2 linked regions of the Callithrix jacchus genome follow. The protein of the gene in region 2 interacts with the protein of the main gene of each other region in a pairwise test. Links are inferred from orthologs where the notes say so. Each region holds a gene or a part of one and is shown on either strand. Other genes may lie near its edges.

Region 1 (4,656 bases), on a different chromosome or scaffold from region 2:
CACCTAGAAGACTGACTTTGTTTTTTTTTGTTTTTGCTTATTTATTTTTTGAGACAAAAGTCTCGCTCTGTTACCCAGGCTGGAGTGCAGTGACATAATCTCAGCTCACTGCAACCTCCACCTCCCAGGTTCAAGTAATTCTCCTGCCTTAGCCTCCCGAGTAGCTGGGACTACAGGTAGGCGCCACCATAGTAGAGAAGGGGTTTTACCATATTGGCCAGGCTGGTCTAGAACTCCTGACCTTGTGATCTGCCCGCCTTGGCCTCCCAAAGTGCTGGGATTACAGGCGTGAGCCACCAAGCCTAATCTTGTTTTATTTTTAGTAGAGATGGGGGTTTGCTATGTTGGCCAGGCTGGTCTTGAACTCCTGACCTCAAGTGATCCAAAGGTCTGCTACAAACTTGTATTATCTGATACCTACTTTGAGCTCCGGTGAGAAGGGGTAAAGCATGAGGCATTAAAGCATGAGGCATTGTTAGTTCATTTCAACATATTGGGGAGTTGTGGGTTTTAGTCTCTGACGCCTCACTGTTACCATGCGAGCTTAGAAGTTCCATTACCTCTTTGGGTCATCTGGGAGGACTTGGTGCTCTTTTAGTTCTAACATTTTCTGCTTGCAATGCGCTTAGGACTGGAGTAGGAGGTGAGTGAGTGGGAGAACGCAAACGCCACAAACGCCAGGCGAGCCATCTCAGGAAAACACTTTTTAGTATTTTGTCCGCTTGTCTGTCGGGAAACGCGCTTACATCCCGCAGAGGGCAGTAAGGACACAGCGCGCAACTCTGCTTTATAACTGCGCGTTAAAAAGCCTTGAATGCGCGTCAGAATCATGTAGGGGAGGTTTTATAAAAACCCGTGCTCCGCCCGAGACAATGAAATCAGACTCCCTGCAAGCGGGACCCGAACATCAGCATTTTTGAAGACCCCCACCCCCACCCCCGCCGCCGCCACCGTGACTGTGCACCGATGATCTTTAATCCCCTGCTACTTGTTAGAGCAGCTACTTATTAGAGGATGACACCTCGCGGACTCATTCTTACAAATGAGCTGCTGAATGGACTCCTTTCCTCCCAAGAGTTGTCGGTGTTGCATCTTTTTGTTGATTGTGTGTGTGTGTGTGTTTTGCCTACAGCACCCGGTATTCTAAGGCGGTCTCCCATCCAAGTACCAACCAGGCCCGACCCTGCTTAGCTTCCAAGATCAGACGAGATCGGGCTCGTTCGTATTTATATTTTTTTAGCCTACGGAAGAAGACATCCAATGGCGCTGCATCTTAATGGGGGCACATCCAGCGAAAGGGAATCTTGGAGACATCTGCGGGTTCCTAGCGGCTGGCGGCAAGTGGGTTTCCGAGGGCAGGGGGCCGCCACCGAAGGTCAGCTCTGCCATTCGCGCTGGGTTGTGGAGGATCAAAGTCCGCTTTCAGCAGGACCGGAGGAAGGAGACTGGGTGGCCCCAAGGGAGGAGGGTAAGAGGCAACCGAGAAGAGGTGGAGGGCCGGGGGAAGAGGAAGGGCGAGGGAGGAGCCTGAGGAGATGCGGCCCACATTGGGCCGGCTAGACCCAGACGTCCGCGCCAAGCCTGGTCGCCATGGCGGGCCTGGGTCTGGGCCCGGGCCCTGCCGTCCCCGTGTGGCTGGCAGAGGACGACCTGGGCTGCATCATCTGCCAGGGGCTACTGGACTGGCCGGCCACGCTGCCCTGCGGCCACAGCTTCTGCCGCCGCTGCCTGGAGAGCCTGTGGGGCGCGCGGGCCGCGGGTGGCCGCTGGGCCTGCCCCACCTGCCGGGAGGTCGCCGCGCAGCAGCCGCGGCTGCGGAAGAACACGCTGCTGCAGGACCTGGCCGACAAGTACCGCCGCGCCGCGCGCGAGCTGGAGGCGGGCCCCGACTCGGCCCCCCGCCCCGGCCCCGGCTCCTGCCCGGCCCCCAGGCCCCGGCGCCGCGGGTCACTGCCGCGGGTAGGGAGGCCGAGCTCGCAGGTCCCCTCGCGCCCCCGGGCTGCCCCCCTTTCCCTCTGGCTCGAACCCCCTTCCTCAGCCGTTCTACTTTTACGTTCCTTTTCTCAATCTAACAGTCGACTCCCGCTCTTAGGAGGAACTTTGAAGTTCAGAAAAGTATGAAGAAGCAGGAAAAAAAAATTCCCCATCTCCCGAAAGCCTGTCAACCTAGCAGCTATACGCCTTGGCATATTTCAACTTCTTCCCAATCTATTTGCGGTCTCTTTCTCTCAAAATTGTAAAATTGTGGTAAGATGCATGTAACATTAAAACTTGCCATTTTTGCCTTTTTTTTTTTTTTTTGGAGATGGAGTCTCTCTGTCACCATGCTGGAGTGCAATGGCGCGATCTGCTCACTGCAACTCCCGCCTCCCGGGTTCAAGCGATACTTCTGTCTCAGCCTCCCGAGGAGCTGGGATTACAGGCGCACACCACCGTGCCCAGCTACTTTCTTTTCTATTTTAGTAGAGACAGGGTTTCACCGTGTCACCCAGGCTGGTCTCGAACTCCTGAACTCAGGCAATCCTCCCGCCTCCGCCTCCCAAAGTGCTAGGATTATAGATGTGAGCCACGGGACCGGCCTCATTTTAACCATTTTTAAGTGTATAATTCAGTGACAAATTAGTTACATTTCCAATGTGCAAATAACACTGCTGTTTGCAAAACCCTTTGATGACCATAAACAGAAACTCTGTACCCATTAAGTAGTAACTCCTCATTTTCCCTCCCTCTAGCCCCCGCTCACATCTAAGCTACTTTCTGTATCTGAGTCTTCCTGTTCTGGTTATTCATATAACTGGAATCATTCAATGTCTGTGCCTTGTTTCTTTCACTTAGCATGGTGTTTTCAAGGTTCATTCATGTTGTAGCATGTGTCAGACTTTATTCCTTTTATGGAGGCTGAATAATATTCCACTGGGTGGATGTGCCACATTATTTATTTGTTTTTTTGAGATGAAGTCTCGCCCTGTCACCAGTGGCACCATCTTGGCTCTGCAACCTCTGCCTCCCGGGTTCAAGGGATTCGCCTGCCTCAGTCTCCCGAGTAACTGGGACTACAGGTGCGCACCACCATACCCAGCTAATTTTCGTATTTTTAGTAGAGACGGGGTTTCACCATGTTGGCCAGGGTGATCTCGATCTCTTGACCTCGTGATCCGCCTGCCTCAGTCTCGCAAAGTGTTGGGATTACAGGCCTAAGTCACTGAGCCCGGCCACATTTTAAAAAATCCATTCATCCATCCTTGGACATTTGAATTGTCTCCACCTTTTGGTTACTTGTGAATAATGCTGCAGGGAACATTGTTGTGCAAGTATCTGAGTCCCTATTTTCCATTCTTTTGGTATATACCTAGGAGTGTGATTGCTGGATCATATGGTAATTTTATGTTTAACTTATTGAGGAATGGTTTGTTTTCCACAAGGCCTGTACCTTTTTGCATTCCCACCAGCCATGTACAAGGGTTCCAATTTTTCCACATTCTGCTGACTACTTATTTTCTGGATGTTTTTGTTTTTCTTTTTTAGCATAGCTTTCACACCTTGGTATAGGCATGAAGTGACATTTCATTGTGATTTTTTTTTTTTTTTGAGATGGAGTCTCACTCCAGGCTGGAGTGAAGTGGCACAGATCTTGGCTCACTACAACTTCTGCCTCCTGGGTTCAAGCAATTCTCCCTGCCTCAGCCTCTAGAGTAGCTGGGAGTACAGGCACCTGCCACCACACCTGGCTGATTTTTGTATCATTGCCAAATCAAGTGTCATACATTTTGCCCTGTGTTTTCTTCTAAGAGCTGTATTATTTTAGGTCTTACATTTAGGTCTTTGATCCATTTTGAGTTAGTTTTTGTGTGTAATGTTAGGTAAGGATCCAACCTTATTCTTTTGTGTGTAGATATCCAGTTTTCACAATACAATGTGTTGAAAAACTGTCCTATCCCCATTGAATGGTCTTGGCACCTTTGTCAAAAATCATTTAATCATATATATGAGAGTTTATTTCTGGGTACTCTATTCTATTCCATTGGTCTATATGTCTGTTTTCATGCCATTACCACAGCATTTATGACTCCCTCTGTCTATAGTGGTTCCTGGGTCCAGTTTTATAGAACCCATGAACTGAACTTTGCTGTTTTAAAGGTGGAAGTACAGAAGAGCATCACAGAAGTTGGTCAGGAGCTGACAGAGCTGGGGGAACGGCTTGTAGATATTGTCAGGAGCCTGCAGAGTCAGAGGCCCCTATCAGAATCTGGACCAGACAATGAACTGAGCATCCTGGGCAAGGTAGGCTCCGCTGGGAGAGGAAAGGATCTGGGAGGTGAAAGGGCTAGGGATTGCTTTCAACTGAAACGACATGAATGTGTTTGAAGCTGAAGGATGCAGTAAGTCTCAACCTTTTATTGTTCTCTTCACTACCAGACATGGATGATTGGATATTTGGTATGCTTGAGGTAAGGTTCGGAAGCTTTGAGTGGGCTAGGATCACTCCACTTAACCAGCTATCTCTAAGATCACCAATGACCTCTGTGTAAACCCTGTAGACATTCTGATGCCTGTCTTCACTGACCTTTCAGCAGCCTTTGACATAGTGGACCCCACCTTCATTCTTAGCTTTTGGGACAGCAGTCTTCTGCCTTTCCCCCACCTCTCTCTGGCTGA
Region 2 (3,913 bases):
TAAAGTGCAATAGCTTAATCATGGCTCACTGCAGCCTTGAGCCCTGGGTCTCAGGTGATTTTCCCACCTCAGCCTCCCAAGCAGCTGGGACTACAGGCACGAACCACCACACCTGGCTAATCTTTTGTATTTTTTGTAGAGATGGGGTTTTGCCATGTTGCCCAGGCTAACCTTGAACTCCTAGGCTCAAGTGATCCTCCTGCCTTGGCCTCCCCACAGTGCTGGAATCACAGGCATGAGCCACCATGCCTGGCCTTAAAGGAAACTTTTAAAGTTTTAAAATCATTTTGTAGGCACAGAGACATACTAATACAAATGCATTTCATACACCCATACAACATGAAAATTAGCAAAGAATTAGAAGAGGCTAAATTTCAAACTATACTTACCTCTTTCTTAAGTTCATTAAGACTGTGACTGATTTTCAGTATACTGAGTTCCAGTTCTTCAGCAATGCTTTTTGTTTTCTTGCTTTGCTAAAAATTTGAAAAAGTATATATGTAATGTTACCGCATCTCTTGAATCTGTTAATTTCAATTTTACTTGAACTATAAATTGTAATAAATTTTAATATTATTCTGTGAACTATAAAAGCAGATTTTTAAAATTTTCCTGTTTAAAGTTACAGTGGAAAATAAAGTTTCAGTTTAGTTACATTCTTCAATGCTAATTATAAATAGGTGAACTGTTTTGTTTTGTTTTTTCTGTGAACCTATGGATTGTATTGAAAGGTGAACTTTTAAAATCTAATTTTCTATTTAATTTTCCTTAATACATTCATCAAGTCTAAAATTAACCTTTTATTTTTGGCCTAGAATGTCCATGCTTTCACTCCTAACCTACTTAAAAATTAAAATCCTACTTGTCTTTAAGTTCTTACATAAATGTCTTTTTCTCAGAAAGGCTTTTTCAGATTACTCAATCTAAATCAGACCCTCTTCTTACTCTAATCTTTTCTCTCAGTAATCATCCCAGCTTGCAATTACATATTTATTTATTTTTTTCAGTCCAAACCATCTGGGAATTTTTTATTTTTTGTGTCTTTAAAGTCTATCTTTCCCACTAGGCCACGAAAGCTGAGTTCACATCTATGCTGCACACCACTAAATCCACAGTACCTGGCATAGGAAATGGTAGGTAGTAGATATTCGATTATTTGCATGAGTAAATAAAAATTAAATATCAGTACTTCATGAAGCCTTGTTGAGTCCTCTCCCTAAATATAAATTTGTCCTTCAAACACTCTCAACGCATAGTCTACACCTTCTCTTAAGATATTTACAAAGTTGTTTGTGCTTCTCTCACCCCTTCCCACAGGTTTCTACACCGTAAAATTCTTGCAGACAAAGATTTTATCTTATTCATCTTTAGATTTCTGGTGCTTGGCATATAAAAGGCACCAGTAACAACTGCTGAAAAAAATGAATGAATGAAAAATTCATCTAGCATGCAGGATCAGAGATTTGAGTGCTTGTGAAATATGCACAGGGTAAATTTGCTAAATTTATGACATTCGCTAATTGCAAATTTGAGTATTGATAGAATCACATTCCCAGCATAGAGTATTTCATCACAAAAAACTCTTTATAGTGAGTGTTGGACTTAAAATTTAACGCTGAAGCAGTCTACACTTCAGATTGTGTAACACACAGATAATTCAAGCTAAACACAAAATGTTGCTCAAGTCTCTGACACCACTCTAGCGCAAGATTCCCTGTTAATATGAACATGTGCACTATTGCGATGCCAAGAAAATATCTGACAAATCTGTGATACACATCAATTTTCACTCATAAATTAATCTATTTACAAGGACATCAACTGCTGCTTCTTGTTTCAGTCTCAGCCATATCCACCCTCCTTCATCATCTTTACTGCTAAAGACATGACTTCCAGATTTGTACTATTGCTGCTGCATATTGTATGCCATGTTAAATACTTTTTTGACATAGCCTGGGCCTCAGAAATAAATAATGCTAGAGACATGTCCCAGTGCTCTGTCTCTCCATTTTGCAACCCACCTGCTATAAGAGATTGTGTACACACTTCCTATGCTGTCCCTCTTCTATCAGTCTTGGCCATTCTTGCCCAAATAACCTCCTCTGAAGCACACCAGCAGCCCATTTAAAGCTCATAGAGCAGCCGCCCACCAATTTTAGACCAGGAATTTGTGCAAGGGTGAAAAATCTTTTACCTGCCAGCTGGATCTACCCTTGTTTTCATTGCATCTATACCCCAATAAGTTTTCTAAAGCATTGTGTCTGTAAATCAGCTGTCTTCAGAGGTAAGAGCTGTGTACATCTGAATGGCTCCAGCAGTCAGACTTGGGTCCCAAGAACCTCTAGGTGGGGGTCTACTCCTCTGTTCTTCACTCTGAAGAAGCATTTTGGGGAGGAATTTTCCAGCGGTGAGTTTGGTGTAAGAGTGGGGACAACAGAGTGAACTAGTGATAGTGGCCAGAGGCATAGATCCAGATTGGCTAAAATAAGAATCAGCGGGCCTAGAAATAATGTCAAGTACTGTGAGTGCTAGATAAAAAGGATATTTTGGCCAACTAGGAGGGAGAAAAGGGATGAGACATCCTGTCCCATTCTGGACCAAATTCATACTCCTGATGATTATGTCAGCTTCCATATCTTGCAAAACTTTACGGGAAAGCCATTATATAAGATTTACTTTGATTTTTAAAAAAGTTCTTACAGCTTGAATCCACACAGAAACTAACTGCTGCAGTTCCATTCTCGCCTGAGTTGACAGTTCCAAGATCCGTTCCCTGTGTTCATGGCTGGTGTAGGCAGAATCAGTAAAGTCCTCTGTACGCTCCAAGATGACTTCCAATGTCATAGAAAGGTTCTCTTTGGACTGAAAATAAAGATTCTCCCGAAGAGCTTCAATATTAATCTGAGAACAAAAAGGACATCCATCCATCCATGGGAGTCAATATTCCCACCTGACCAAAATGGGCTGTAAATTCTAACAGTGCCAAAGAAGACACTAGCATTTTATTTCCCAAGTTGAGGAGAAATACAGCCACCAAACATATCTAAATTGTCCACTAACCCAGGAGGGCACATTGCACAAAAGCCTTCAATATCCATGCAAAGCATAATTTGTACAGAATTAATACAATGACATTCCTATAAGATCAGTGAATGCTAAGGCAGAAAGAGGATCATCCTGTAGCAACCAGTAGGAAAAATGAACCAGCCTCCAGGTAAAAGATTTGCATCTGAGAAAATACCTAGGCAAAGTCCTGGAATATATGTTACACCCAAATATGAAATGTGCTGAGCCCAGGGGGAAGGATGGTGTGGAAGATGTGGGGTGTGAGAAGGACTGGGGAAGGCATCCATTTTTCCTTCATTAATTCAACGAAGACTCTCCTCATCACCTAACTGGTCTCCCTGTATTTTAAGTCCCCAGTAGCACCTTACTGACCCAAACATGCTCTACCAGCATCTGATATTGCCACCTCCCTCTAATAGCTCCTCACCATCTATAGAGAATCAAGCCCAAACTTCTCTGGCATAGCACAAAATCCTCTATGGCCTGTCTTTATATACCCTCTAACAGTCCATCTCACCCCCTGAATCCCCTAATAACCTTTCACTCCAGCCACCCTGTTTGGAGTTGTGACTCTTGACTATGTGATGAACACATGTTCACATGTGCAGTCTTTCTCTCTCAGCTTTCTAAATGCACCACCCCATTTCAACCATATAAAACTCTACAGTGCATGAAATATATCACACAGACAACTTGGACCAAGAGGCAACAAACGGTAATGATCATGATTACGGTCACAATGAATGTGATGATAAGGATAGCTTACATCTGTTTAACACTTTAAAGTCCATTCACAAGTTATTTTAATTAATCCTTATGCGTGACCCATTTTAACATGATCCATGAG

Evidence for each region.
Region 1: the proteins of CTNNAL1 (region 2) and RNF135 interact in binary tests that used the Homo sapiens proteins (3 or more experiments, as listed by UniProt). The two-hybrid records come from large-scale screens. The link is inferred for Callithrix jacchus from reciprocal best matches to the Homo sapiens genes CTNNAL1 and RNF135.

Annotation. Positions count from the first base shown.
Region 1 is NC_133506.1:101,969,478-101,974,133, reverse strand, and holds the start of RNF135 (E3 ubiquitin-protein ligase RNF135), read left to right. Parts: upstream 1-1,564; 5' UTR 1,565-1,590; coding exon 1,591-1,959; intron 1,960-4,137; coding exon 4,138-4,281; intron 4,282-4,656.
Region 2 is NC_133502.1:157,345,211-157,349,123, forward strand, and holds part of CTNNAL1 (alpha-catulin), read right to left. Parts: intron 2,902-3,913; coding exon 2,701-2,901; intron 477-2,700; coding exon 390-476; intron 1-389. UniProt on the Homo sapiens protein: May modulate the Rho pathway signaling by providing a scaffold for the Lbc Rho guanine nucleotide exchange factor (ARHGEF1).